Elephas maximus indicus: one gene and its partners. The protein of the gene in region 3 binds, or shares a complex with, the protein of the main gene of each other region. Links are inferred from orthologs where the notes say so. Each region holds a gene or a part of one and is shown on either strand. Other genes may lie near its edges.

Region 1 (10,323 bases), on a different chromosome or scaffold from region 3:
TATCTCTCAAGAGATAAAAGGAAAGGGAAGCAAGCACAAAGCTGGGGACCTCATGCCACCAAGAAAGCAGCACCAGGAGCAGAGGACATCCTTTGGACACGGGCTCCCTGCGCCTGAGAAGCTCCTCGATCAGGGGAGGATTGAAGACAAGGACCTTCCTGCAGAGCCAATAGAGAGAGAAAGCCCCTGGAGCCAATGCCCTGATTTGGACTTGTAACCTACTAAACTGTGAGGAAATAAATCTCTCTTTGTTAAAGCCATCCACTTGTCATATTTGTTATGGCGGCACAAGATGACTAAGACACTTGCTTTTTTATTTTGTTTTATTTTGAGTGGTCAGCCATTGTGGCCTCTTGAGTCCCCCAACTTTAAATGTCTGAAGGCTTCTGGTCTCCCTGGGAGTTGGCTGAGATGCAGAGGCAGCCAGGGCTTACCTGTACATGCACTTAAAGACCAGTTCAGTAAAAGCACACAACTTAAAGAAAACACTCTTGAATTAAATTCTCTATAAGCACATGCATTTCAGTACTCCTTTGGCTACGTGACTACATAAATCCCCTTCCTCGTAAGTCTTTCTAGCTTACGGGTTCCTTGGTAAACTGATGAATAGAATAAAATTCTTGACATGTGTCTCCTATATTTTGCATTAAGAACCCTGTTTTTAACTTTTTTGAAAATTACTCCTTGATGGGTGTATTACAGGGATCTTCACAGAAGTGACGTTTTACCTGGACTGGTTCCCCCATCTGATTCCCTGTCTTTCAGGACCTCTTCCCTGAACCCCCTGAGTAGGATGGGGGCCTTTAGTAGAACAGTAGTGTTCCCCCAAAATGCCTCAGGCAAAATTTCCTCTATCATTGCTTATGATATTGTTTTTTAAAAGTATGTGTGTTATTTCTGCATTCTGTCTCTTAGAACTTGTTTTTAATTACATAAGTAATGTATGAATGCATTCTACAGGCAGTCCCCTGTTGTTCATAGGGTCGTTACAGGTCAGAACCGACTTAAAGGCTCCTAACAACAACAGATACATTTAAAAAGGGATATAACATTTTAATTTTAAATGTCAGTATTCACAATATCAAAATTTATATTTTTTGTATCTGTTTAAACTTAAGATAAAAAATTTTGATACCAATTTAAAAATGCACAGGAGTGATCAGATTTCCATTCTTGAAAATATTTCTGGCAGCAATCTGGAGAATAAACTGGAGGGGGGAAACTAAAAGGCCACTTGGGAGACGTAAGAGTCCAGATAAGACGGTATTAGGGCCCAACTCAGGGAAATACCGTGGTAAGGAAAGAACAGGTCTAAGATGGAGCGAAGAGGCAGAATCGATGGTGATAGAGAAGACAGGACAGAGTCCAGAGGCTTCACAGAATCTTTTTGAATGTATATAGTAAAGATAGAGGAGTCTTGGATGATTTCAAAGTTTCTGGCTAGGAAGACTGGTTTAAAATAATGAGCCCAATCCCTAAATTAGGTAATACAGCAGGTTTTGGGGAAAACAGTTCAGTTTTGGGCATCTGAGTTTGAGATGATCATGGAACCAAATATCTGGGTGAAGATGTCCACACAGCTTTTATAGGAATGGGTCTAAAGCATAGGGGAGGGAAACTGTAGCAGTGGAAGAGGCCCTGGTTATGACACTGAGCATCTAATAGAGTAAGTGGAAGAAGAAAACGAGCCAAGGATGGAACACTAACACTGAAGGGGTAAGGAAAACAAGACAGTCCTGTAAATTTCAGTGTTTAACGTATAGCAGGAGTCCCTGGGTGGTGCAGTTAACGCGCTTGGCTGCTAATCAAAAGGCTGGTGGTTCGAGCCCACCCAGAGGTGCTTTTGAAAAAAGGCCTGGCGATCTACTTTCAAAAAAGCAGCCGTTAAAACCCTATGGAGCACAGTTCTATTCTGACACACATGGGGTTGCCATGAGGCAGAATCGACCATTCAGCCAGCAACTGGTGGTTAACAGGTAGCAATGAATGAATTCTTGTGAATTGGAGAAAGAAAGGGAGAGGAAGAAGTAGACAGATAGACTGGAGAATTAGGAGAATATTTGTGGCAAGATAGAGGGGCTTGCCTCAGGTCACACAGATAGCAAGGAGAGGAGCTGGAATTAAAACTCAGTCTAACTCCAAAGACAGAGCTCTTCATCACTGTGCTGCCCTACCTACCGATCGTGACACAGAGGTCAGAGAAATTTCTCATGTAAGGTCCTAGGAGAGATAGTAAGCAGGGAATTTAGAAAACAGCCAAAAAAAAATATTTAAGAGGGAAGTTAGTAGGGATGGTATGTAGTGTTAGACTGGTAGCGGGAAGCTGAGGGGCTGCTCCTCAGTCTCCCTCCCAACATCCTTTTCCTAGACCTTCCTCTTAAATACAGAAAGTTCCCTTCTCAGGTTCTTTCCTTTTCGTTTTCCACAGAGTTTCAAGGGGAAGGAAGACCTTCCAGTGTAGTCAACATTAAAATATGTGACATTTAATTTGTCTAAGTCTAGCCTAGGTAGCAACTCCCTTATCAGTTTAAGTTTCATACAGAAAGTTTTAGACACCGAACTCCAAGTTCAAAACTCTTGCTGACAATGTTTTATAAGGAATCGAAAGAGCTGTAGAGAATAAGTTGGATTTCTACATAATATGGAAAGACATCCAAGTTATACCGTTAAAATGAAAAACAAAACATTTTTATCTCATTTCCGTAAATAACAATACATATTACCACTGGCATAAAAAAACACCCAAAATACTATACTTCAACCATCAACAGTGGTCCTCTCTGGGGGATGTTCTGATTACGGAGATCTTTCATTCTATAATTTCGAGTTTTTATGAACATGTAATAATCAGGAAAAAAAAAAAAAAAGACAACTTTTGACCTTCTAGAAGCACATGGTCTAACTTTTCTGCTTGAGCAAGTTCCTTAGCAGCGCGTCCCACTCATTCGTGGATCATCTAGACATCGGTTCTAGGACCAATGGATGAGTTAACGCACACGCGCCGCGCACGTTGTCCAACGCCAGCACCTCAGTTAACGCTGCACACAGCTGTGGGGGGCGCCGCGCACGTTGTCCAACGCCAGCACCTCAGTTAACGCTGCACACAGCTGTGGGGGGCGCCGCGCACGTTGTCCAACGCCAGCACCTCAGTTAACGCTGCACACAGCTGTGGGGGGCGCCGCGCACGTTGTCCAACGCCAGCACCTCAGTTAACGCTGCACACAGCTGTGGGGGGCGCCGCGCACGTTGTCCAACGCCAGCACCTCAGTTAACGCTGCACACAGCTGTGGGGGGCGCCGCGCACGTTGTCCAACGCCAGCACCTCAGTTAACGCGCGCCACAGGCGCGAGGCCGTAAAGCGCCCCGGGGGTCAGTCAGTTAGCTCCCCGCCCCTCCGGCCCGCCCCGAGGCGCTGAAAGCACCTTTCCTCAGCAGCCCGCGCGAAGGCTCTGCTGGCGCCGCGGGACACTCGCCGGGCCCGGGTGTCGTGTTTCGGGGAGGTGACCCCCAGCCACGAGCGGCGGTTAGGACCGTTACTCACCATTTCTCGGGACGCCAAGCTGGGGCTGGCGGAGCACCAAACTGAAGAGCATCTGGGCCAGAGGAAGACGCGCAGTTGAAGAAAAGGCTCTGAAATGCCCTAGGTCCCGCAGAAACCGCAGCCTGCACCCCAAGAACAAGACCAGGCGCTGCCTTCCACTCCCGCCACTGCAGGCTCCAGCCACCAAACTCCGCGCCAAACTGACGTCACGCTCTCTGATTGGCTCCCGCCGTGGCGTCATGGCGCCGCAGAGTCACTTCCCCCTCCGGAGCCCCGCCTCCTCTTCGCCGGTCCGCGGGAACCCAGAATTCAAGAGCCCCTTGAGCGCCTGCGCGGGGGGTCGAAGAGGCGCTGGCGAACCGGGGGATGGCCAGGGCGCATGCGTAACACGGCTTGCCAGCGCGCGGAGGGAAAATCCGCGAGAAGGCGGTGAAGGAAGATGGCGGGGTTGGGGCAGGGTTTGCGGCCTTTCTGAATAGGCTAGTCAAGTAACTATTCAGGTCATGGCGTCAAACTCAACTAAGTCTTTCCTGGCAGATGCCGGCTATGGCGAACAGGAGCTAGATGCGAACTCCGCCCTTATGGAACTGGACAAAGGTATGGGAAGGAGAGGGGGAGCCGGCTGAACGCATGAGAGGGAAGTGGCGCCCCCAGGTGGCGGGAGCCTCGGGAGAGGCGGCGGGAGCGCGTGAGAGGGCAGTGGCGCCCCCAGGTGGCGGGAGCCTCGGGAGAGGCGGCGGGAGCGCGTGAGAGGGCAGTGGCGCCCCCAGGTGGCGGGAGCCTCGGGAGAGGCGGCGGGAGCGCGTGAGAGGGAAGTGGCGCCCCCAGGTGGCGGGAGCCTCGGGAGAGGCGGCGGGAGCGCGTGAGAGGGAAGTGGCGCCCCCAGGTGGCGGGAGCCTCGGGAGAGGCGGCGGGAGCGCGTGAGAGGGCAGTGGCGCCCCCAGGTGGCGGGAGCCTCGGGAGAGGCGGCGGGAGCGCGTGAGAGGGAAGTGGCGCCCCCAGGTGGCGGGAGCCTCGGGAGAGGCGGCGGGAGCGCGTGAGAGGGCAGTGGCGCCCCCAGGTGGCGGGAGCCTCGGGAGAGGCGGCGGGAGCGCGTGAGAGGGAAGTGGCGCCCCCAGGTGGCGGGAGCCTCGGGAGAGGCGGCGGGAGCGCGTGAGAGGGAAGTGGCGCCCCCAGGTGGCGGGAGCCTCGGGAGAGGCGGCGGGAGCGCGTGAGAGGGAAGTGGCGCCCCCAGGTGGCGGGAGCCTCGGGAGAGGCGGCGGGAGCGCGTGAGAGGGAAGTGGCGCCCCCAGGTGGCGGGAGCCTCGGGAGAGGCGGCGGGAGCGCGTGAGAGGGAAGTGGCGCCCCCAGGTGGCGGGAGCCTCGGGAGAGGCGGCGGGAGCGCGTGAGAGGGAAGTGGCGCCCCCAGGTGGCGGGAGCCTCGGGAGAGGCGGCGGGAGCGCGTGAGAGGGAAGTGGCGCCCCCAGGTGGCGGGAGCCTCGGGAGAGGCGGCGGGAGCGGGCCGGGGTGGCCGAGGGCTTCGGCGGCTGGTGGGAACCAGAGGAAGGCTGCAGGGTCGCCCTGTTGGCCTTGACCGCATAGCTGGCTGTCTTACCGGCGAGCTCTCGTCATGGGCATTTTGGCCACTTGAGGGGACGATCCCCTGGTTTTCCAAGCACTGAAAATGGCTCGTTTCTAAAAATGCTAAGGTGAAATTATTTTTTGATATGTTCAGTTGAGCCCAGGTTTTCATGAAGGGTGCCGAAGAATAATCTTGCGCCAGCGCTGTGAAGATTGAGTGGGTCTCCGTAACTCCTTGCTGCGTGCGGGATGCCACGCAGCTTAAACTCGGGAAGGCTTGGTCTCCCCCGTCCCCGCAAACGGGCTCCCCGAGCCGTTTCCTAGGCGACCGGGCGGGGGCGGGCTTCCTAGGGTGGAAGGAGGAGCTTTGGGTGCCCTGAGTTCAAGTTCAGTGCTGCAGGCTTCATCGTCACGGACAGGTACCTTACTTCACCTAGCCTCGGTTTATCGGCGTGGGAAGGGGGTGCAGGTACTAATGAGAAACTTGTTCCACTGCACTTGAGGAATTTTTATTGTGTAGGAAAAGCATATTTTGCAGCTGATACAGTTAATTCTTGATTATCCGCAGCCAGTGTGTAATGTACTGAGAATTGGACCGTGAGTCAGAAGGATCTGCCTGTAAGTCCCCTCTGAGCCGACTTGGACATGTCTATTAACTTCTTTGGAACTCCTTTTTTGATTTTCTTTTCTTGTTTTGCTTGTTCTTTAACCTGTAAACATTTTTAGTAGGTTGACTAGATAAGAGTTTCTCACACTTTTTTTCTCTTTTGGCATTTACCTCCTTTTTATCAATATAAAAACGTCACAACGCCCCAATGGACTGTTCCTTTGCTTGAGTCTCAGTATCTTTATCCATCTTCTCTAGCCAAGAAAATGTTTAGCTTTGCTTTCGATTACCAAAGCTATAAGTCTTTCCCCTGAAATATTAAATTGTAATATTAAACATGTTTTTTAAACACTACACAGTCTTTCCCTCTCCATCCTGATAGGCTTTTCTCCCTTATTCCCCAGTGTGAGTTGTGGGTCTTGTGCTGTCTGATACACAGCTGGCCTTGTCCCATGCTGACAGCAGGACAGTGTTTGTACAGCCGGGATCAGGATGGGGCACTGAAGAAATGAGAAATCTAGAATTATTTAATTTCTGAAAATTTGCAGTTGTGGTAGAAATAACAACTAAATTTTCTCTTAAAGAACAGTTGAAATAGGAATACTTTAGGTCAGTAAGGAATAAGTGGATGGCTACTGACTGTTCAGCTGGAAACCAGATGTCAGCCCTCGATCCTTAGTGTTTATGTTCAGTTCTCCCAGCAGTGCCCTGGGGAGTATTGTACAGATGAATCTCAGACTCAGAAAGATAACTTGTCCAAGATAAGTACAAAACTCTTGTTCTTTTTCACCTCACCATGCTGTACCTTTGAAAGCTGTTAGAAAATTAAACTGCAGAAATAGTTTCATTAGACTATATAGTATTTTAAATATTGAATCATTTCGTTTTTTACCTATTAACAATGTTTTATGTTTTGTGAGCCAAAGGTCATAGTCAGAAGGCTACAAGTTCCAACTTTTTGTTTTCCAGAATGTAGTCCGAGGAATACTGTTTATGAAGTATTTAAAAATCCCTGTCTCTCTCTCTCTCTAACACACGTGCACACACACACATCTTATTTGATCAGCAGTTAACAAATGAAGATCAGTAGACTCATTTTTACATATGACTGAGTGCTATATCTTGTGACTTACAAAGGGAATTATTAAGCATTTCTAAGAGTTGGTATTCACAGGCTGAAATTAGTATTCTAAGAAATGTGGATAATGCACGATATTCCATGTATCCTACTATGTACATTTACAGGCAGAATTTCTGAAAATTGGGGGAAGGGTGCTTTATTATTAATTCATTATCAGTTGAGCGGACTGTCATTTCAGTTGTTTTTATTCCTGCTTTTTAAATGTAAATTACCGAGGCTTTGTCCTTATCAATTTAGTGAGCTTTGGGTTATCAGAGAGGTAGCTGCCATCAAATCGACACCAATCATGGCGACCTTATGTACAACAGAATGAAATGTTGCCTGGTCCTGCACCATCCTTACCATCACTGTCATGGTCGAGTCTGTCATTGTGGTTGCCATGCCAGTCCATCTCACCAAGGGTCTCCCTCACCCACCCTCTACTTCACTAAATGTGATATCCTCCTCCCATGGTTAATCCTCGTTATGAGACATCAAAGCAATCGAGTCAGACAGTGATCTGTTATGATCCATAAGGTTTTCATTGACTAATTTTTAGACATAGATTGCCAGGCTTTTCCTCCAAGTCTGTTTTAGGCTGGAAGTTGTGCTGAAATCTGTCCCCCTGCCGTGCCGGCAGCAGTCGTGGTTGTGTTCTTAGTGTACAGTGGTCGCAGCAATGGCTGCAACATCCCTGGATGACAGCAGAGCTAATTGTAGCATCTGGTACTCATGGTGTCAGAATCTTTTGATGAGGGCATTCTTCTTCAGGTTGGATGTAGCTAGCAGCGGAACCCCTCTTAGGTCAGGATTTGATGGACTGAGCTCCTGTTTTGGGGTCCTTAGCTTAGTCTTGAGTCGAAATTGGCTTTAGAGCAAGCAAGATGGGTACCACAGCCTCCCCAGCCTACGGTTATCGCTGAGGCCATAAAGCACTTCTCTGCCCTCTTGCACCCAGGTCCTGTCTGTCAGCGCCAACCTAAGACTCTTTCTCCTAAGACTGTTACATCAGAAAATAAACCAGAGATTTATTACTATTTGGTTCATTTATCCTATGGCTCTGTTAGAGGAATGGGGGTTTATTTTATCTTAGATAAAATTAAGCAATACTAGAAATCAGAACATGTCTCTGACCATATCAAGATTATCTTTGGTACATTTTAGACCGGCACATTTATTAAATCAGTGTGGCCTGTGACTTTGTTTTCTAAGGGAAGATAAAACGTGGTCATATCGGTAGGGGAGTCTCCCCACACATGGGCTATTCCTGCTTTATCTTTTTCCCAACCAAGGTAAATTCGTTACAGAAGGAGCTTTACCATCCTTTGCATTTAACTCGACAACTGGCAGTGAGAAGCGGAGGAAAAAAGTCCTCTTACTGTGGATTTTCCCAACAGCCCCTGCCCCCGTGCGTGCACGTGAGCGCACATCTTCTGTTCCTTCTCCCTTCCTCTCACCTCCCATCCTCAGCCCTTGCTTTCCTTCTTCTGCCCTTCCCTGTGTCCTTTGCTGCCCTATCTGCTTGTCGCTTCACCCTGGTTTCATATCGGGCTTTTAGAAAAGTCTTCCTCAGGCTACAGGAGCCACTGCCTGTGACTTAGAACGTCCCGACCACACTGCCTGTTTGGTGGGAAGACTCTTCTAGAGTCTCAGAGTGTGTGAGAGGGGGAGGGGGAGGACAAGAACAAGGGATCAGACAAAGAAGGGGCATGTTCCCAATATCCCAATCAGGAATTTCAATTAACTTGAGTTAATTTTCCTGTAGAAGCTTCTGTCAGTGGTTTATTCTGTAAGTGGTTATTAGGTTCTAGACTGCTGTGCGTGCTGGTGAATTGTTGTAGCTCCTGTGAGGAAATACGTTTCAAGTATTCAATAACTGACTTGAGTGTATTTACAGAACATAACCGGTTAGTAAGTTGTAGCAACTGCCAGTGCACACTTAGTTTAGTCTTTTGTATTGAAACAGTGGCACCCAGATAAAGCCTTCATGTGAACATATCCCTTGTCGTTTTTTAACAACAGCAGAAATTACTGAACAAAGATTTATTTATTCCTTCTGCAGATATAATCCACATTTTTGTGAATGGTAAAGTACTAGAAGGGAATATTCGAAGCTGGTGCTATTAACTTCATATCAAAGTATTCTTTTTTTTTTCTTAATAGATTTTATTATGCCAGTTGACTTAGATGTCCTCTGAAACCATTTGCCCATGATACGCTGGCTTTCAAAGCGTTCAGTTTATTCAGGAACCTTCTTTGCTTTTGGTTTAGTCCAGTTGTGCTGACCTCTCCTGTACTGCGTGTTGTCTTTCCCTTCACCTGAAATAGTTCTTATCTACTCTCTAATTAGTGAATGCCCCCTCCCTCCCTTTTCCCTCTCTCCCCTCTCTCGGGACCATCAAAGAATATGCTCTTCTCAGTTTAAACTATTTCTGGAGTTCTTATAATAGTGGCCTTACACAATATTTGTCCTTTCCCAGCTTACTAATTTCACTCAGCACAGTGCCTTCCGGGTTTCTCCACGTTATGAAATGTTTCAGGGATTCATCGTTGTTCTTTATCCACGCATAGTACTCTGTTATGTGAATATACCATAATTCATTTATCCATTCATCCGTTGATGGGCACCTTGGCTGCTTCCGTCTTTTTGCTATTGTAAACAGTGTTGCAGTGAACAAAAAAACAAACATGGTGTGCATATATCTGTTCGTGTAAAGGCTCATATTTCTCTAGGATATATTCCAAGGAGTGGGATTGCTGAATTGTATGGTAGTTGTTCTATTTCCAGCTTTTTAAGGAAGCGCCAAATCGATTTCCAAAGTGGTTGTACCATTTGACATTCCCACCAGCAGTGTATAAGTGTTCCAGTCTCTCCACAACCTCTCCAACATTTATTATTTTGTGTTTTTTGGATTAATGTCAGCCTTGTTGGAGCGAGATGAAACCTCGTTGTAATTTTGATTTGCATTTCTTTAATGCCTAACGATCGTGAGTATTTCCTCATGTTTCTGTTAGCTGCCTGAATGTCTTCTTTAGTGAAGTGTCTGTTCATATCCTTTGCCCACTTTTTAATTGGGTTATTTGTTTTTTTGTAGTTGAATTTTTGCAGTATCATGTAGATCTTAGAGATCAGGCACTGATCGGAAATGCCATAGCTAAAAACTTTTTCCCAGTCTGTAGATCATCTTTTTACTCTTTTGGTGAAGTCTTTGGATGAGCATAACCCAACCCACTGCCATCGAGTCAATTCTGACTCATAGCGGATGAGCATAGGTGTTTGATTTTTAGGAGCTCCCAGTTATCTATTCTTCTGCATTGTTAGTAATATTTTGTATACCGTTTATGCCATTTTTAGGGCTCCTAATGTTGTTCCTATTTTTTCTTCCATGATCCTTATTGTTTTAGATTTTCTATTTAGGTCTTTGATCCATTTTGAGCTTGTTTTTTTGTGCATGGAGTGAGGTATGGGTCTTGTTTCATTGGCCTTCTCTGCAT
Region 2 (10,323 bases), on a different chromosome or scaffold from region 3:
AATGGGCCAGGGCCCATTTTCTGACCCAAGAACCTGGTTCTTAGGGCCTGGCCGTCCTACCTCCTAGCAGGTCCCACAGCAATCACAGGGAGAAGTGAGGAGCAGAGTCTGGGGCACATGGGAGGGCAGGAGTCAGTTAGGAGGGGAAAAAAAGAGAAGGGAAATCCCTGTCCGCACAGAGTTTACATTCCAGGTTGAGGAGGGATAACGAACTCATCAATAAGAACCATGTCCAGGGCGGCAGATGGCAACAGCCACAAGTAGCAAAGTGAAAACACAGTGGGGGTACGGGGGCAGTGGGGGCTCGGGCACTGCAGCACCACCACAGGGACTTCCTCTTGAAAAGGATGGGGGAGCCAGGACAGGGGAGCAGCGCACAGGCCCTGTGCTGGAAGCGCCTGTGATACTGGGTGTCAACCTGCTGCCTGGGCGCCTGTTGCCCGGGAGCTGCGCAGGTGTAACTGGCAAAGGAAAAATGGGTGAGCAGAAAGGGTTTGTTTTCATGGTGGTAAGGTGGCTTTGGGGTGACCCAAGTGCAGATGTGGGGTAACTGAAGCCATAAGAAAGTGCTGTCAGAGAGAACCAAAAAAGAAAAACGCAAACCCATTGCCATCAAGTCAGTTTCAGCTCATAGCAACCCTACAGAACAGTGAAGAAATACCTCCATGAGGTTTCCAAGGAGCAGCTGGTAGATTTGAACTGCCAAACTCTGGACTAGCAGCTGAGTTCTTAACCACTGTACCACCATGGCTCCCCATCAGGAAGAACAGGCAGTGGGAAAGAGGTGGGCTGGGATGGGGGCCAGGAAGGAGGAGTCCACAGAAGCCTCTGGAGAGCAACTGGGGAGGGCATGGGGCCACAGCAGGTGAGGGGACCCCATGCCACAGCTGTCGAAAAGGCTGTGGAGGTGGTGATCCTGTGGAAGCGTGGGGCGTGCACTCTGTCCTGGAGGCCAGGGGTGGGACATTCACTGCAGCTCTGCCAACAGCTGCATAAGTTGAGAAGCCTGGGAGCCAAGCTCAGTGTCTGTGCTGGGGCAGGGAGGGACTCACTGGTGAGAAGCTCAGCGCTGTGGGAACAGACATGGAAGATGCCCCTGACATACTGCCCAGGGAAGGAGGCAGGTTCCAGAGTGGCACCAGGCACACAGAGTGCCCAGGGCATCCAGGGGATGGCCCCAGCTGCTTCTGGGACCCTAGGTTTGAGTGAGTCTTTTCTCCTTAAAAAAAACCCATTGCTGTCACGTCAACTCCAACTCATCGCAACCCTACAGGACAGAGCAGAACTGCCCCATGGGGTTTCCAAAGAGCAGCTGGTGGATTTGAACTGCCAGCCTTTTGGTTAGCAGCCAAGCTCTTAACCACTGCACCACCAGGGCCCCCTTTTCTCCTTAGCACTGTTAAACTAGGTGCCATGGTGCCAATCATGACTCATCATGACTTCATGTGTGTCAGAGTAAAACTGTGTTCCATACGATTTTTGATAGCTGATGTTTTCGAAGTAGATTGCCAAGCCTTTCTTCCAAGGTGCCTCTGGGTGGAATCAAACCTCCAACCTTGTGTTTATCAGCTGAGCACATTAACCATTTGCAAGAATCAGGGACTCCTATTAAGACTTTTCATAATGCACATATGTACGTCTTACAAAAAATAAAGCTATTTTTTTTTTAATTTTGCTGAACTGAGTGCTGATTGCTGTATTGGGTAAACGGGGCTGCAGGTAACCCTGGTGTGAGCAGTGCCGAGTGGAGAGACTGTAAGACAGAATGAGAGGGTGGACGGCTGAGCAAGAGGTGAGGTCAGAGGAGACACGAAGGGCAAAGGTGGGCAAAGGTCGATGTGCAAGGGGAGGCAAATACGCTGACAGAGGAAACAACCGTGAGGTCACAGGGGTGGGAGAGACTCTGAGTGGTCTCCCACACCACTGCCCAGGGACAGTGCAGCATCTGCCGAAGACTGACTTTGTGCCAAGCATGGGGGCGAGCACTTTACCTCAGAGCCTTCTGAGATTAGGTAGCTCACACCTGCCTCGCTGTCAGAACACATACAGAGAGACGGAGATGTGGCATCACACAGCTACTAGCAGGACAGAATACAACCCCAAAGCCCATCCCTTAACCACTCTCCACAGAGCTGGCACCTGCAGGAGCAGCCAGAACAGAGGTCAGGATCTCCACGCACACGCTGACCAAGCGACCTCAGGCTAGGGACTGATTCAGGCCTCAGTGTCCTCACCAGAACAGAAGGAATGCCATGCAGCCCCACCCCCTCTCAGCACGGCCCTAAGAGTCCAAGGAAGCTGCATCCAGGAAAGGATTCTAAAAGCCGGGACCCATGTACAGGCAGTACCACGTGGCGGAAAAACACTGCCTGGATTTGAACCTCTCACGGTGATGACTGCCCCCATGTATCTGTCAGTTTGTTGTACTTTGAGGGCTTGACAACTTGAAGAGGAATGGCATTGCATTCATCATTAAAAAGAACATTTCAAGATCTATTCTGAAGTACAACGCTGTCAGTGATAGGATAACAACCATACACCCAGAAGGATGACCAGTTAATACAACTGTTATTCACATTTACATACCAACCACTAAGGCCAAAGGTGAAGAAATTGAAGATTTGCAGTCTGAAATTGATTAAACATCCAATCAAGATGGATCAATAATTACCGGTGATGGAATGCGAAAGTTGGAAACAAAGAAGGATCAGTAGTTGGAAAATATGGCCTTGGTGATAGAAGCTATGCCGGAATCACACGATAAAATTTTCCAAGACCAATGACTTTATACGTTTTTTCAACAACATAAAGGGCAACTATACCCTTGGACCTCACCAGATGGAATACACAGGAATCAAATTCAATCAAAGAGACAATGGAAAAGCTCAGTATCATCAGTCAGAACAAGGCCAAGGGCCAGTTGCAGAACAGACTATCAATTGCTCATATGCAAGTTCAAACTGAAGCTGAAGAAAATTTGAACAAGTCCATGAGAGCCAAAGTATGACCTTGAGTATATCACACCTTAATTTAGAGACCATCTCAGGAATAGATTTGATGCATTGAACACTAATGACCAAAGACCAGACAAGTTGTGGAATGACATCAAGGACATCATACATGAACAAAGCAAGAGATCATTAAAAAAAAAGGAAAGAAAAGACCAAAATGGATGTCAGAAAAGACTTTGAAACTCACTCTTGAATGTTGACCACCTAAAGCAAATGGAAAAAACGGTGAAATAAACAAACTGAACAGAAAATTTCAAAAGGTGGCTCAAGAAGACAAAGTAAACTATTATAATGATATGCAAACACCTTGAGTTAGATGACCAAAAGGGAAGTACACCCTTGGCATTTCTCAAGCTGAAAGAACTGAAGAAAAAATTCAAGCCTCGAGCTGCAATAGTGCAGGATTCTATGGGGAAAATGTTAAGCAACTTCAGGAAGCATCAAAAGAAGATGGAAGGGGAAAAAAAAAAAAAAGATGGAAGGAATACACAGTCACTATACCAAAAAGAATCAGTCAACGATCAACCATTTCAGGAGATACCATATGATCAGGAACCCATGGTACTGAAAGAAGAGGTCCAAGCTGCCTGGAAGGCTCTGGTGAAAAACCAGTCTCCAGGAATTGATGGAATACCAATTGAGATGTTTCAACAAATCATTGTAGCACTGGAGGTGGTCACTCATCCATGCCAAGAAATGTAGCCAACAGGCTGGAAGAGATTCATATTTGTGCCCATACCAAAGAAAGGTGACTCAAGAGAATGAGGAATTATCGAACAACATCACTAACATCACACGCAAGTAACATTTTGCTGAAGATAATCCAAAAGTGGTTGCAGCAATACATCAACAGGGAACTGCCAGAAATTCAAGCCGGATTCAGAAGGGGATGTGGAATGAGGGATATCACTGCTGTTGTCAGACGGATTTGGCTGAAAGCAGAGAATACCAGAAAGATGTTTACCTGTGTTTTACCGACTATGCAAAGGCATTCAACTGTGTGGATTGTAACAAATTGTGGATAACATCGTAAAGAATGGGAATTCTAGAACACTTAATTGCGCTCACGAGGAACCTGTACATAGATCAAGTGGCGGTCACTCAAACAGAACAAGGGGATACTGTGTGGTTTTAAGTCAGCAAAAGTGTGTGTCAGGGTTATATTCTTTCACCACATTTATTCAATCTGTATGCTGAGCAAATAATTCAAGAAGCTGCACTATATGAAGAATGCGGCATCAGGGTTGGAGGAAAACTCATTAACAACCTGCGATATGCAGATGACACAACTTTCTTGCTGAAAATGAAGAGGACTTGAAGCACTTACTGATGAAATCCATAGCCTTCAGTATGGACTACACCTCAGCATAAAGAAAACACAAATCCTCACAACTGGACCAATAAGCAACACGATAAATGGAAAAAAGATTGAAGTTGTCAAGGATTTCATTTTACTTGGATCACAATCAACACCCATGGAAGCAGCAGTCAAGAAATAAAAATATTCATCACATTAGGCAAATCTGCAGCAAAAGATCTCTTTAAAGTATTAAAAAACAAAGATGTCACTTTAAGGATTAAGATGCACCTGATCCAAGCCATAGTATTTTCAGTTGCCTCATACATGGGAAAGCTGGATAATGAATAAGGAAGACCGAAGAAGAATTTGACGCCTTTGAATTGTGGTACCGGAGAAGAATATTGAATATACCATGGACTGCCAAAAGAATGAACAAATCCCTCTTGGAAAAAGTACAACCAAAATGCTCCTTAGAAGCAAGGATGGCAAGACTTCCTCTCACATACTTTGGACGTGTTATCAGGAGGGATCAGTCCCTGCAGAAGGAAATCATGGTTGGTAAACTAGAGGGTCAAAGAAAAAAGCGAAGATACTCAACAAGATGGATTGACACAGTGGCTGCAACAATGGGCTCAAGCATAACAATGATTGTGAGGGTGGTGCAGGCCCAAGCAGTGTTTCGCTGTGTTGTACATAGGATGGCTATGAGTTGGAACTGATTCGATGACACCTAACAGTAACAACACGGTGATGGCTGTGGGCTTTGAGTAAGTTACCGAGGCTTTCTGTGAGCCAGCTACACAGTCCCTAAAATGGGGATAGGAGTCCTTAACCCCCAGGGTTGTGGTGACGATGAAGAGTGAAAACAGATGAAGGGCTCCCGGGGGGGGCTGGCTCGGGGCACTTCCACCAAAGGTCATCGTCACCCATTCGAATCCCAATCTCCTCTAGCTCCTCCTGACGGTGGGTTTGAGCTTACCCAGAGGGGTGACTCTGATCTCCGGCATCTTCACTGGGCGAACTCCCAGGCTCGGGGCACGTGCAGGGCCGGGTCGGGCCGACACGCCGCACCTGAACTCCCGCCGCGTCCTCGGGGTCCCGCGGGGACTTAGGCTGGGAGGGAACCGGGGAAGGAAAACGGCCGAGGGGGGCGCAGGCCCCAGTCCCCCGGGAGAAGGGCGAGCTCCGCTCCTCAGTGATCACTGAGCCAGCGGCGCCTCGTTCCAAGCACAACCCCACCGCCCCCACACTAGGACCCCTGACCACCAGGATCGCTGGCTGTACGGGAGCCCGACGCGCTGCGAAGCACTGCGCAGGCGCAACCCCTGCCCCAACAGCGCCGTCTTCTGGTTTGCTCGCCGGAAACGCGGGCTCGTTGGGCCTCCTGATTGGACTCCCCGCAACCAATCGATGGGCGGCGCCGGCGGCCTAGAGCTGAGAGGGGCGGGCGGGGCCGGCACGGCCGGCCCGGCAATTGCAGAAGGCTGTAGCGGAGGAGGAGGTGAGCGTTTCCGGCCGGACTCGGCGGGGCGGGCAGGGTCGAACCCAACCGAGCCGACCGAGGCGGGTCTGGAGCCGTGGAGGAGCCTGGTGTGGGTCCGAGGGGCAACTGTTGGGACCCCAGGGGCGGAAGCGGGGAAGGGGAACCCTCGCGGAGGGCTGCGGCGGGGTGGGCGCCTGAGTCCTGTCTTGCAAGGCGGCCCCCCACCACCGTCCTATGCCTCCCCATCCCGGTGCCCTCAACTGGAGCAAGACCTGCCCAGGGCCCGACCCCACTCTCTTCTGAATCGCAGACCCTACCCTGGTGCCTCCGCAGCCCCCTTCCCAGGTGAGACTTACAGGTTTCCTGGACAGGGGCCCAAATTGCTGGGTTCCGCACCCACCCATAGGTCTGGGCGCCAGGTTGCCCACTCTCTGGCCAGGACTCCAGCCTGCTGTCAGTCACAAACTCCAGTGCCCAAGCTGTCCTCCCTCCCAGCCCTGACCTTGGGGCTGCCTGCCCCTTGAGGAGCCTTGGTTGAGCCTCTGCAATCACCTTACCTGAGCTGGCAGGCTGCCCACCTTTCCTGTCGCAGACTGACAGCTGTGAAAGGCTCACTGGCAGCTCCTGTTGGCTGTGATCCTGGGCAGGAAGCCCCAGCGGCAGGTTGTCTGGTGACCAGGAAGGAGACCCAGAGCCTCAGAGACCATCTGTTCAATGGACAGAGAACTAGGCCCTGAGAGGGGACGCTACCTAAAGTCTTCGGGCACCATCCTCCTGAGCCCAGGCCCAACCTTTCCCCGGCACCTGAAGACACAGTGAACTCATCTCTAGGGACTCCATACTTGTAGACACAGTGAGCTTGCTTGTTGGGGCTCCACCCAAAGCCAGGCATGCAGCCAAACTCATAAGGCCTGCAGGGCTTCAGCACTTACTGGTGCCCCCAGATGCTCCCAGCAGCCGGGGAGTGAACAGGGCAGGGCGCGTTGACTCCTTTTTTCCCAGAGATGCAGAGTCTTAGGATGGTGAGTGACCTGCCCACTGAGGAACCAGCTGTCCTCCTGGTTGGGGGTGTCATCACAGCTGGTCTTCTCCATGCTAGGGACCCCACGGGGGTGAGGGGGCAAATCAGGGCTCCAAGCATCAAGGGGCACAGGAACCCCCAGGCACAAGTTTGTCCTGGATACAAGGTGACATGTGGCTGAGTCCCCAGGCTCCATTGCAGGTACCCTCAGATGTCAGGCTGATGCCCTTGGGGTAGCATACCCAGGGAGGCAGGGGCTGAGGTTCCCAGTGGTACCCACTCTTGCGTGGGCACTTGAGTGTTGTGGAGTGATGTGTGAGTGCATGCAGGGTCCAGAGCAGTGCCTTTGTAGCCTCTGGTCTGTGGATGCTTCTGGCAGGTTCCCTGGGGCTGGAGGAAGGGCCTGTCTTCAGAGTGTGGTAAGGTCCTTGGCCCTGCCACCCTCCTGCACAGATCGTGTACAATTTCAGCAGCAAGAGTGAAAAGATGGTTCTGTGGCCACAGCTCTGGCCCAGGGGGTGCCACAGTGATGGAGGAAGGAGGGAGGCTGCCCAACTACCCTCCCTGCCTCTTGCCTTGCTGTCATGCTTCTGTTTCTTTGAGGTTCACCAACTCATATGCTGCATCGGAATCCCCTGTGTTTACTGGTTGTTGTTTATCCTTCCCACTAGAACATCACCTTGACAGGGCAGGACTCACCTGTTCACAGTGGGTCCCGAGGGCCAAGAACAGCACAGTAAAAACAGACACACACTCTAGTGAGAGACAGATGGCAAATAAGCACGTAAGTAGGACAGTGGCTAGAGCACACACCGCAGTGAAACATAGCAGAGGCGTCTGAGGAAGCCTGGGAGGGTATGCCGCATTAAGCGGTTGGTCAGGGACAGCTTCACCGAGACCCAGGTGGAGATCTCTTTACAAGGGTTCCAGGCAAGGCCACAGCAGGGCAAAGACCTCGAGGCAGGGACAGGAGGCATGGCATGTCTGGAAGGCAGATGGGCCCGCCTTAGGAAGAATTCCATTTTGGGGGGTGGGGTGCCATTGCAGGGCTCTGAGTAGGTAGCCTGTGATCCCAGCTCTTTCCACCCCCTCCCGCCCCTTTCCTACGGAAGAAAAATAAAAACACAGTGCAGAACAAGCTGACTTAGTGGGAGCTTTGTGTGTTTCAGTTCCTGTTGAAAATGGATGATTCGGAGGCAGACTTCAACTTGAAAGTCGTCATGGTTGATTTTAAGCAGTGCCTCAACGAGAAAGAGGAGATCCTAATGAACCACTACCTCAGCGGCTGGTGGGGGCTGGTGAAGTATGTGCCTGCGCGGGACTCCCTGCGACTGTCAGTGTCCCCAGAGGGGCCTCCTGCCCCAGAGGTGGCGAGGAACTGGTTTGGGGCAGGGCTTTCCTAGCCAAAGGTCCCCTTCTCTGATCCCTACATTCCTGCAGGTGCTTGTAAGTACCAGGTTGGTGCCTGCCAGCCGGGTACAGAGCTGGGTGCTGGCCCTAAGGCCGGCAGCACCTGGCTTCTTTCAAGCGACATGCCTGGGCCCCACGCCTTTGGGAGGAGGGGTCAGGGTTGGGGCTTCAGCTCTTGCAGCCCTGGTGGGAGGGAGGCGCTGCAGACCCTGCCAGGCCCTGCCCTCAGGTGGCATGGGACCCTGGGAAGCACAGACTGAGCTCCGGCTTTCCCTTGAGCAGGTTTCTGAACAGTCTGGGTGCCATCTTTGCGTTCATCTCCAAGGACGTGGTGGCAAAGCTGCAGATTATGGAGCGGCTGCGTAGCAGCCCACAGGGGGAACACTATGCCAGCCTGCAGTCCATGGTGGCCTATGAGGTGGGCCACCAGCTGGTGGACCTGCAGCGGCGTTCACGCCACCCTGACTCGGGCTGTCGCACTGTGCTGCGGCTACACCGAGCCCTGCGCTGGCTGCAGCTGTTCTTGGAGAGGCTGCGTACCAGCCCTGAGAATGCCCGCACCTCCACGCTCTGCACTGACTCGTATAATGCCTCACTGGCTGCCTACCACCCCTGGGTCGTACGCCAGGCTGTCACCGTGGCCTTCTGTGCCCTGCCCACACGCAAGGTCTTCCTGGAGGCCATGAAGGTGGGGCCACCTGAGCAGGCCATAGCAATGCTGGATGAGGCGCTACCCTTCCTCCAACGTGTCTACGATGTTGTCCAGAAGCTCTATGCAGAGCACACACTGCTGGACCTCCCCTAGTGCAGCGGGCGGTCCTCTCGTTGCGTCCTCCTTCATGCTGGGGCAGACTGACAGAGAAGTGGGTGCTGGCTGTCTGCTTCTCTGCCGTCCTGGTCAGTCTGTGACCATCCCACATTCCCTGGGTGTCTCAGCAGACATCTGCTCCGCTGGGCTCACAGAGGTCCTGGGAGCAGAAAGGCAGCAGGGGTGGAGGAGGGGCAGGTGGAGTAGGTGTTCACCACTGCAGCCCAGCAGTCCTCCCGCCTGCCCATGTCTGTGAAGTGGTGGTCACGGTCCCAGGAGCTCAGAGACCCCCTCTCCAGCACCCCAGGTGTGTGTGTCCTTCCTATACCTGCCTCAGGCCACAACACATGCTGCTGAGCAGCCCCTGTGTCTGCCCAGGTGTAAGGCCTCCTGGGTTGCCCGTTGCCAGGGCAGGGAGGGGACATCTGGGTCACAGCCTGGGCTCTATGGGCTTCTCTCTTCCCCTACCGCCCAGTCGGTGCTTCCAGGTGCTGAGCAGGCCTCGGGCCCACAGTGACAGCTGGCGCTGAAGCTCCCTCTCTGCCCCTTGCAGATGTGTCAGCTTCAAGGACACAGCAGGCGCTTCCCCTGTTAGTCACCTGTGGTCTGCACAGTCCCGAAGCCCCCGGGGAGCCATATGCTGCTGGACCAAGGTGTCCCCTTGCCCCAGCTCCCCAAGATGCTGTGTCCCCTCCCCTGCCCCTTGCTGCCCCCAACATGGTGTTCAGCAGGCCAGCATGGGCCTGGTGCAAGGAGGGTTCTGGACCTGGCGTCCTTAGGCCAGGCAGGCAGGTGGCCTCTCCCACTATGTCTGCTCATGGTGGACCCAGGACACTGGGCTGCAGGGACAGTGTGTGTGGAACAGACGTGTACCAGTGAACCTTTCGGGTGGACTTGACCCTGGGAAATTGTAACGCATGTTGGGCTTTCCAGTATGAATAAATCACATTTACTGGACAAGCTAACTCTGCAGATGGAAGTGTTGTGATGTGCCAGGTGCCTCACCAGATGGGGAGGAACCCGGTTGGGGGAGGGCATTAGGAGGGATGTAAAAGGGGCCTAGCAGTGTGCAGCCCTGGAAGGGTCCAGGATGGGTGCTCCTTGATCCAGAAAAGGTATGTGTGTGTGTGTGTGTACATGTGTGCATATGGTTGTACGCCTATGCGTATGCACCGTTATGTGTGTGCACATGTGTCTGTGTGTGAAGCCGTACACATGCACACACAGCAGGGGCCTCCCCCACAGGACAGGGCGGAGAGACAGAGGGGAGGTGCCTAGACCAGCCTGCAC
Region 3 (10,323 bases):
TTTTCCTGGAACAAAAGAAGCAATCGTTACCTTGATGCTCTACTTTCGGCTAAACAACAAACAGGAAACTAACCTCCCAAAGAGATTCAATGATCCAAGTATGTAAGCCTTCATTTCTGAAAACTTTCTGTACTTCCAGGGAAAGAGCTCTTCTCAATCAGTATGTTATACACAAATACTGAAAAGTGGAGTTTTTTTTTTTATGCCTTTCTGGTATTGTTAACTTCTAATCAGAAATGTGTTTTCGGGGATTAAAAGTAATTTACCAGTGCTAAGATTTTTTTAAGATTAGGTAAACACATTCCTACACCAAAGACAAAATTACTCAAAAGTATGCTCAAAGGAAAAACCGGTTGCCATCAAGTCGATTGCAACTCACAATGACCCTATAGGACAGAGTAAAACTGCTCCATACGGTTTCCAAGGAGCAACTGGTGGATTAGAACTGCCAACCTTTTGGTTAGCAGCCATAGCTCTTAATCACTGCACCACCAGGGTGCTCAAAGGCAGAAGTGCATTTCAAATATGACCAATTCCCCATCTGTCATCTATATTTTCTAAGGAGGTGACTGGCACAATAAGGAGGCCTGAAGGAGGGGAAGGGACAATAGATACGGGGTCAGAGGATCTAGAATTCTGGCAAGCCTACGCCACTTACTATGTACATAACCTCGGCAAAGTTATTTATTTGAGAAATTAACCTTGAGCTATGAGATGCAGCAGAAAGAAAAAGGACTTTGAAATTAGCCAGATCTAGGTGTGCAGCTCATATTTACTATGTAACAGCTCTACGCCTTAAACGGGCTAATTAACCTCTCTGAGCCTCATCTCTGAAATGGGAATAACACCAACTTCAGAGGGATACTGAGAAAACAACTGGCACAGAAATGGGCACATAATGGGCAGTCAAGTATTAGTGTCTCTCTTCCTTTCTCTCCCTTAAGCATCCATTCTTTCACGTGAAAGGAGGAAGTAAAACTATCTCCATTTGAAGATGACATGATCCTATATTAAGAAAGTCCAAAAAAATCCACAAGGAAGCTACTAGAAATAATAGAAGAATTGAGCACAGGCACAGGGTACAAGGTCGACGACCAAAAATCAGGTGTGTTTCTTTACAACAGCAATGAACAATCAAAAAGACAATTAAGAAAACAATTGCATTTATAATAGCAGCTAAAACAATATCTAGAAATAAATTTAACGACGGAGATGAAAGACTTGTACACTGAAAACTATAAAATATTGTTGAAAGAAATTTTAAAAGGCCTAAATAAACAGAAAGATATCCCATGTTCATGGATGGAAGACTTAACATTAAGATGTCAGTACTACCCAAAGCAATCTACAGATTGAACACAATCCCTACCAAAATCTCAACAGCTTGTTTTGCAAAAATGGAAAAGGTGATCCTCAAATTCACATCAAATTGCAAGGGCCAAAAAGCCAAACAATACTGGAAAAGAACAAAGTTGGATGACTCACACATCCTGATTTCAATACCTACACAAAGATACAATAACTAAAACGGTGTGATACTAGCATAAAGACAGACACATAGACCAATGTAATAGAATTGAGTCCAGAAATAAACCCATACATCTAGGGCCAACTGATTTTGGACAAGGTGTCAAGTCCATTCAATGGGGAAAGAACGGTCTCTCCAACAAATGATGCCAGAACAACTGGACTTCCACATGCAATAGAATGAATTTGAATCCTTATCTTATACCATGTGCAAAAATTAACTCAAAACGGGTTAATGATTAATATAAGCACTAAACCCATAATATTCTTAGAAGAAAACAAAAAGGTAAATTTTCATGACCTTGGATTTGGCCATGGTTGCCTAGATATGACACCAAAATCATCAGCAACAAAATAAAAAATAAACTGGACTTATCTAAATTTAAAATTTTTGTGCATCAAAAGGCTTTATCAACAAAGTAAAGTGACAACCTACAGAATGGGAGAAAATATTTGAAAGCCACATAGCTGATAAGGGGTTGAGTACCAGAATACATAAAGAACTCCTATAACTCAACCACAAAAAGACCAAAAAAAAAAAAAAAACCACACACACACAATTTAAAATTGGGCAAAGGACCTGATAAACATTTCTCCAAGGAAGAAAGACAAATGGCTAATAAGCACATGAAAAGATACTCAAAGTCATAAGTCATCAGGGAAATGCAAATGAAAACCACAATGAGATTCCACTTTACATTGACTAGGATGGCTATATCAGAAAAATAACAAGTGCTGGCAAGGATGTGTAGAAATTAGAACCTTTATGCACGCTGGTGGGACTATAAAATGTAGAAAAGCTTGGCAATTTCTCAAAAAGTTAAACAGAATTACTATATGACCCACCATGTCCATACCCAGTTATATACCAAAGAGAACTGAAAACAGATACTGAAACCCTTGTACACAAATGTTCATAGCATTATTATTTACAATACCCAAAAGGTGGAAACAACCCAATGTCCTTCAACAGATGATGAATAAACAAATGGTGGTATATGCATACAACAGAATATTATTCAACCATAAAAAATGAATAAAGTACAGATACATACTATAACTGGGAGCAACCTCGAAAACATTATGCTAAGTGAAAGAAATCAGAAACAAAAGGTCACATATTAGATATGAAACATCCAGAATAGCTAAGTCCACAGAGACAAAGCAGATTGGTGTTTTCCAGCAGCTGGTAGAGGAGAAAATGAGAAGTGATTGCTTAATGGGTAAGGGGTTTTCTTTTGGGGTGATGAAAATGTTTTAAAACTTTATCCAGGTGGTGGTTGTGTAAGATTATAAATGTACTAAATGCCACTGAATTGTATCCTTTAAATGGTTAATTTTATGTTGTGTGAATTTCATCTCAATACAAGTATCTGGGAAAAACTAAAGAAATCTGAAAATGGACTAACATTAAGGAATTAGTTTTGTCAGATGTAGTCATGTGGTTATTTAAAAAAGAAAAAAAAAAAGATGTCCTTTTTTTAGAGCTATTTACTAAACTTTTTAGCAGAATATGATACCTTAAAAAACTTCAGGAAAACAAATAGATGGAGCAGATTTGGCAAAATAGTAATAACTTTAAAATCTCTGGGATGGGTATTTGAGAGTTCATTATACCATTTTCTCCCCTTTTCTGTAAGTTTAAAATTTTTCATACTAAGGTTTAAAAATTTAATCTGTGATTCAAAAATCTGAAAATGATTTTTTCTTTTACTTCAGATCTCACTATACAAACTAATAAACATATTTTGTGATTAAACTATTTCCACATTTAATCATGCTTGAGTTGATATTTTACCTAACCCATTAAGATACCTGGAAAAAAGAATGCCAAGTTATTTAAAAAAAGTGGGGGGAGAGCAAGGCTGAAAGCTACTGTAATTACTACAATGAAGTCCTGAATCAGGGTGGTAACAGCAGGGGTGATGATGAGGGAACTACATTACAGAGCTGAGTCTGGTTGTGGAAGGGTCATGGTACATGTCAAATCCTCCTTTGTGCACCTACTGCACTCTGTATGTATTGGGCTGACAGTACCCACAACAGTTTGATGCAGTATCATTTACCACCTGGTAGACTCTAAGCCTCCGAGGACAGGATGTGGATCTTTTTTACTTATGTAATCATAGTGTCTAGCACATGGAAGGCACTAAGTAAACGACTGCTAAATGAACACCTTCTTTATTTTGCAATATTAACTCATTCCACAGATATGATACATCTCTCATATATACCCCCATAGGTCTTCAAGCTCTCCTTACCTTGTAATAATGTTCCAAGAGAATCCTGACTACTCCCTCCACACTTTCTGCTTCAACGGGCTTCCTGGCAAACTGGAGTAGGTACTGCAAAGCATCTGCTGGGGAAGTAGCCTTACACAGATCTATGTGGAGTGCTGCAGATTTACTTGGTTTTGTTAGTCGGAGTTTCTTGGCAGCAATTTCTTCTTGCTGTTGCTGTAAAGAAGAAGGGAAGATAAGACATGAAGACCTAACTGAAAACACAGATCAGAATCAACTTGATTTGGGTTTGGTTTTACTGTACATACGCATAATAAACACAAGATACATATCACTTCTCTCTCCTCACAGCAGAGAAAAAAGAACAGAAAGGCTAAGATCTCATTTCATCACTAAACCACTCATGCAGATTAAAGTGAAAAACTGCTTGCTTTAAAACCCTTATCCATTCCCAGCTTATTCTACACAAATCCAGTCTTTAGTGTTATCTCGGCTGCAGTTAAGACAAAACTTGGGGAAGATTTTTCCCTAAGAAACTATCTAATGGGGAGGACGAACTGATATCATTCAGATATCAATAATAACGTTTTAGTGAGCCAGGCCCTGTGGTCCATTCAGGTGACAAAGATGAACCCAGATGTCATCTCTGCCATCAAGGAGCCCAGAATGCTGGGAGTATACACACTGGTCACTGCAGTACTGAGCAATAAGTACAAATAGATAAGTGCAATAGAGTCCTATAGAAGCAGAAGAAAAAGACTAAAACTATCACTAAAGTTTCCATTGGATCTTGAAGCAAAAGTATAAAATTGAATTGGGTGAGGAACAAAAAAGATGGACAAATGGTATGCATTCTTTGCAACAGAACAAATACAAAAGTTTGGAGATATGCAAACACAAGGCACACTGGGGAAGTCTTGGAGAATAGTCTTGGGAAGTGGGAACAACAGTGTTGGGAAAAAAGAAAGTGACAAGTGATTAAACTGGAAGGAATACTGTCAGACTGCAAAGGGCTAAGAAGTTTGGTTTTACAAAAAGATGGTGATGCAAAAGAGAAAGGAAGAAACATTTGATTTGTCAATGCAATTGTCTCTCTGTATTACAATTACAGATATGTTCTCCTGTCTCTCCCATTAGCCTGTGAGTTCCTTAACAGCAGAGACCCTGATGTGTACTGGACTTTGTAGACCAACACTTTTCACAACGCCTGGCACATAGTAATCCCTCATCGACTCAATAAATTCTTGTTGAATGAATGAATGAAATGTTTAAGGATCAGCTTCCTACTGGATCATCTAGGCCTTGCTACTCCACAAGTCTGAAACTCTAAGGATGGTTAAGGATCCGAAGCATTGACATCAATTGGGAACTTGTAGGAAATGCAGAATATTGCCTCCCTTCCCCTCCCTCAGCCTGACGGACATATTGAGTAGAACTGACATATTAACAATATCCTCGGGTAATTTGTATACACAACAAAGTTTGTGAAGAACTTCCCAACGGATGATTTGAGATCAGCCTCTACTTCACCGACAGCTAAATGGAGACATGTAGAGCATCAACGGCTGCTAAACGGGAGCTAAACCCACCTTTCTTAAACAGCTTCAAAGACACAAGATCACCCTCCTTCGTAGGGCAGCTGTTCCACAAATGGAGCGTTCTGCCTGCTTTGACACGTGGGCCTTGAAGACCTCTATAGACTCTTCTTCAAGTCCCTTGTGTTCTTGTTGAGTGCAATCAAGTCGATTCCGACGCATAGTAACCCTATTACAGAGTAGAACTGTCCCGCAGGGTTTTCTAGGCTGAAATATTTACGGGAGCTGATCGCCAGGTTTTTTCTCTCGCGGCCGCTTATAACTTTGCAAACTGCCACCTTGCCCCTGGAGGTTTTTTTGGAGAAGTTGGGAATTGGACTAGTAGGCACTGTGTCTTCGTACCCCTCCGGAAGCCTCAATAACAACATCTGTGAAACTAGGATAATGTAACCCGATCTAACAAGTTGTGTGAGAAAACAAAATGAGATAACGGATGAAACAAAGTTCGTAAAATGTAAAGTGTCATTTATTTATTCTAATAATAAGAAAAATTGCGTCAGGCTATTAATGACAACAGTACAGGCAAACTAACACGCCCACTAACGTGTACTCTCAGAAACCCTACGATAGAGTAAGCGCTCAACACTGGTTGGCGCCTGTTCTGGCAAAGTGCCTGGAGCCTGGATAACCGTCCCCGCCGCGGAAGTGTCCTGGGAACTTTGATGCCGACGCTTACCTGAACCACCTTAGTGAATTCTTCGTACACTCGCTTCTTAAGGTGCGCCGCCATGGTTGCCCACGGGCCCTCGCAGCTTCCGTACTCACCACCGGAGGCGGGGTGGAGGGATCCGGAAAACCGGTCAAGGCTGGACAAATTCGCCGCTATCCCACAAGCCAATGGGGCTCTGGGAAAGAGAGGCCACTTCCTGCGGCTCTACTGCCCCGGAGCGGTACGGCCGGGCTTGTCCGCCTACGCCTCGTGCGCCGGGGGGGACGAAAACGGAATCTTAGCGTGAAGGGGCGGGGCCTCTGCCGGGAGAAGACAGGACTGAAAGGGTGAACGAGCCAATAGGAGCTTCTGGGGGATTGCTGGTGGTCTGAGAGTGGCCCAGAGGCTGGCGCTGAAGTTGAGCGAAGGGAAGGAGGAAATATAGATTAACGGGCAGAGGCGGGGCGATTCAGAGCTAGAAGCAAAACCTGGAGATATGTAAGGGTTTTTGACTGGCAAAATAGCGGAAGGAGGCCGAGCTGAGGTTCCTATCGTCCTTTGTTGTTTATAATGCTTGCTAATTGTCGCTTTCTTGAACTCCGTTCAAGCCGTGCGCCACCCCTCCTCTGGCCCAAGGTGCCTTTTCTTCTTCCCAAACTACGGTTATTCAAAAGCTGTCCATCCTTTAAGGAGTCGCTCTCTCTTCTGATAGCTACCAAACCAAAACCAAACCCGTTTCCATCCAGTCGATTCGGACTCATAGCGACCCCATATGGCAGGTTCCAAGGAGTGGCTGGTGGATTCAAACTGGTGACTTTTTGGTTAGCAGCTGTAGGTCTTAACCGCTGCGCCACCAGTACAGTGGAAAGAAGGCCCAGGCCCAGTGTCAAAAAACTAGCCTTCAAGCTAGTTTTTGGCACTTGACGAGCAAGTGGCCTCAACTACGAATGCACTGATAATGCCTAACCTGACGAAAATGTAGTAATGACGAAACGAAACGTGGAAATATTCTATACTGTGGAGTTCATGTGTTAGTATTAATAAATCCAAGGTGGAGTTTTACGCAGTACATCAAACTTTCGCTGTTCATTGTTCTTTTAAGAGTTAATGTAAGATGCTTAGAAAAAGCAGGAGGCTGTGCTAGGTACAGAGGACCAAAAAATGCATGCAAGAGCTACAACCAAATTGGGGAGACAGACACTCAAACTGATCATTACAGTTCAACCCCAAGTGCTGGATAGCGGAAGAATGCAGTTCAGACAACTTCCTCAGGATGCCTCAGGGAAGCCTCACAGAGAAGAGGATTACTAATCTGGCTCTAAAAGAGTAAAAGGAAAGACATCTCAGACTACAGCACATACAAATGCATCAAGTGAAATGAAAAGCACTTTGGCAAACTGCCTGCAATAAATGATGTTGTTAGCTGCTATGGTGTGGAGAAGGATACGCTATCCGTTGCCCAATCCTCTGCCATCCCCATGATCTGTTGGGGCTCAGACAGTTGTGATCCATAGGGTCTTCGCTGGCTGATTTTTCATAAGTAGATCACCAGGCCTTTCTAGTCTGCCTTACTCTGGAATCTCCGCTGAAACTTGTGGAGCTTCATAGCAACATGCAGTCCTCCACTGGAAGACAGGTGGTGGCTGTGCACGAGGTGCCTTGGCAAGGAACTGAACGTGGGTCTCCCACATGGAAGGCAGGTGAGAATTCTCCAGTTGAACCATCACTGCCCTCCGATAAACGTTAGCTGCCATTAATATATTGCCATTACCATATTCTATCAAATCTAAGCTGCCAGCAGGCATAGAACAAACCATTATTTTATGTATCATATTAAGAAAAAATGCTAAAATTAAAAACAGTGGTTTCTTATTGGTTAGACTTGTTATGTATATTACTGAAAGAACTCCTTTAAACTTATTTAGACATATATTTGTATCATATGTGATACTGTCGTGTTTTCCTGCCTTTCTGCACACATAAAAATTTTTCATTTAAGTGCCAAATTATAGGGTAATCTCTTTGAAGATATTTTAAATGGCAAGTAAAGACAAAACTTGTGGTACCAAAAATGCACAGAGCTTAATCAAAGTGATGATATGAACTATGACCCAGTTTTCACATGAGCATTTGGCCAAAGCAATTTTAAGATGTATCCTGATTTCAGAAATGTTAAATGGGCTTTTAACATCAATAATATATGGTATTATTGTCTTGGTTAATATTATTAGTTACATGGCTGCAGGATGGAATTTGGTGCATTCAGAAAACCAAAGGAAATTCAGTTTAGATTCAGAGTAAAGTGCATGGGGGAAATAGGGAGGAGCAATAGAAATAAGATTGAGGAGAGGAATTAGGGACAGTCTGGTATAGAAACAAGAATGTTCCACATTCTTTAAGGATGAAATGAAAAACTGTGTTTATTGAATTGATGCCATTTTCTTTTGATGTCCATTATCGGACATGAGAATACAATGAGGTGTCCCAATGAATCCCCTGGGTTTCTAACTGAGTCTTCACTGTCCCATTGTAGAACACAAACCCAGTTTCCAGGGGGAAATCATCCAGGCTGGTACAGTAACTATCTCTCCACCTGTTGGCTTAGCAGCAAGAGCCCAAAATGGCCCAGAGGCAGTCTCAAGTTTCCATTGTAGTATAATAATGATTGTGTTCTCCAATGGAATTGTTTCTTCCTCAGGAACTACGCACTCCAAACCCACTGACCCAAGAATTCACTGTCATAGTCATCTAGTGCTGCTATAACAGAAATACCACAAGTGGATGGCTTTAACAAAGAGAAGTTTATTTTCTCACAGTAAAGTAGGCTAAAAGTCCAAATTCAGGGCATCAGCTCCAGGGAAAGGCTTTTTCTCTCTGTTGGCCTTCTCATCAATGTTCCCCTGGACTAGCAGCTTCTTTGCTCAGGGACCGTGGGTCCAAAGGATGCGCTCTGCTCCCAGCATCGCTTTCCTGGTGGTATGAGGTCCCCCTGTCTCTCTGCTCATTTCTTTCTTTTATATCTCAAGAGATTGCCTGAAGACACAAACCAATCTTGTAGATTGAGTCCTGCCTCACTAACACAACTGCCATCCATCCTCCCTCATTAACGTCATAGAGGCAGGATTTATAACATGTAGGAAAATCACACAATACCAGAAATCTGATACGCACATTTTGGGGGGGACATAATTCAATCCAGGACATTCATGCATGAGTTATTAGGCATAAAAGTGAAAGAAACCACTCCAACTTCCATCCCTTGGTTCCCAGATAGTGAATTCTAACAGTAGAGTAAAAAAAAAAAAGAATACCATATTTTAATTGTTTGCTTAAGGCATAAGCCACAAACATTTAAGATAGCACCCCAAACTTGCGATGTGTTGTCTCTTAGCTAGCACCATAACTGAATCTGCAAATGGCCATTACACTGTTTTATCATAGCAGCTACATCTGAGTGATGCCCCTGAGAAGATCAATGAATTCCATGACCGTGAGCTCTTTGGTGCAATTCTTTCCCAATAAAATAAGTTTCTATTCTTTAAATTATTTTTTTAAAGATATAAAATTTACATACAATAAAAGGCACAGATCTTGAGTATAGAGTTGGATGAGTTTGACGCATATATATCACCCAAATCAAAATATAGAACATTTTCAACGGCCCAGAAAGTTCCCTTATACCCTTTCTAATCAATCTCTCCCCACATCTGACAACCGTTTCTATCACTGTTTTTGCCTGTCCTAAAAAAATCATACAAATGGAATCATACAGTATGTACTTTTTGTGTTTGGATTCTTTTATCCAACTGGGATGGACTGGATTGTATCCCCAAATAATGTGTCAGCTTGGTTAGGCCATGATTCCCAGTATTGTGTAGTTGTCTTCCATTTTGTGATTTTCCCATGTGTTATATATCATAATCTCTACTGTGGTTAAGGAGAATTAGGGTGGGATGTAACACCCTTGCTCAGGTCACATCCCTGATCCAACGTAAAGGCAGTTTCCCTGGGGTGTGGCCTGCATCACCTTTTATCTTACAAGAGATAAAAGGAAAGGGAAGCAGGCAGAGTAGGGGAACTTCATACCACCAAGAAAGTGGTGCCAGTAGCAGAGTACATCCTTGGGACGTGGGGTTCCTGTGTAGAGAAGCTCCTACTCCGGGGAAAGATTGATGACAAGAGCCTTCCTCCAGAGCCGCCAGAGAGAGAAAGCCTTCCACTGGAGCTGACACCCTGAATTGGATTTCAAGCCTACTAGACTGTGGAAGAATAAATCTACTGTGGTACTTCTGTTATAGGAGCACTAGATAAC

Evidence for each region.
Region 1: the proteins of INTS4 (region 3) and INTS7 are in contact, whole or in part, in a cryo-EM structure (PDB 8RC4), measured with the Homo sapiens proteins. The link is inferred for Elephas maximus indicus from reciprocal best matches to the Homo sapiens genes INTS4 and INTS7. Residues at the interface, in NP_291025.3 of Homo sapiens: Glu536, Met539, Asp540, Arg571, His572, Ala574, Tyr575, Asp578, Ser579, Ser610, Phe613, Arg620, Leu624, Leu627, Gly631, Glu634, Leu635, Phe638, Arg641, Asp642, Arg645, Leu646, Glu648, Leu649, Gln650, Lys677, Leu678, Trp679, Asn680, Val681; in NP_056249.1 of Homo sapiens: Lys137, Asn138, His140, His141, Arg144, Gln145, Gly175, His205, His206, Asp207, Ala208, Ser244, Ser245, Leu246, Val247, Lys282, Thr283, Pro284, His285, Thr286, Thr321, Ile322, Lys325, His326, Gly686, Tyr689, Glu704, Gln707, Gln708, Leu711.
Region 2: the proteins of INTS4 (region 3) and INTS11 are in contact, whole or in part, in a cryo-EM structure (PDB 7BFP), measured with the Homo sapiens proteins. The link is inferred for Elephas maximus indicus from reciprocal best matches to the Homo sapiens genes INTS4 and INTS11. Residues at the interface, in NP_291025.3 of Homo sapiens: Leu159, Asp161, Thr162, Arg167, Tyr203, Gln207, Asp244, Ser292, Gly294, Trp296, Arg299, Lys323, Met326, Ser327, Asp328; in NP_060341.2 of Homo sapiens: Pro183, Trp191, Lys194, Asp212, Gln288, Gln400, Gln404, Lys462, Met465, Ala466, Leu469.

What each region holds. Positions count from the first base shown.
Region 1 is NC_064842.1:634,966-645,288, reverse strand, and holds the start of INTS7 (integrator complex subunit 7), read left to right. Parts: upstream 1-3,892; 5' UTR 3,893-4,044; coding exon 4,045-4,138; intron 4,139-10,323. Other genes in the region: DTL (denticleless protein homolog), read right to left, coding at 3,542-3,593. UniProt on the Homo sapiens protein: Component of the integrator complex, a multiprotein complex that terminates RNA polymerase II (Pol II) transcription in the promoter-proximal region of genes.
Region 2 is NC_064821.1:39,919,342-39,929,664, forward strand, and holds the start of INTS11 (integrator complex subunit 11), read right to left. Parts: upstream 5,828-10,323; 5' UTR 5,319-5,827; coding exon 5,291-5,318; intron 1-5,290. Other genes in the region: CPTP (ceramide-1-phosphate transfer protein), read left to right, coding at 7,997-8,118, 8,508-9,030.
Region 3 is NC_064825.1:44,096,615-44,106,937, reverse strand, and holds the start of INTS4 (integrator complex subunit 4), read right to left. Parts: upstream 6,226-10,323; 5' UTR 6,093-6,225; coding exon 6,039-6,092; intron 3,984-6,038; coding exon 3,789-3,983; intron 6-3,788; coding exon 1-5. UniProt on the Homo sapiens protein: Component of the integrator complex, a multiprotein complex that terminates RNA polymerase II (Pol II) transcription in the promoter-proximal region of genes.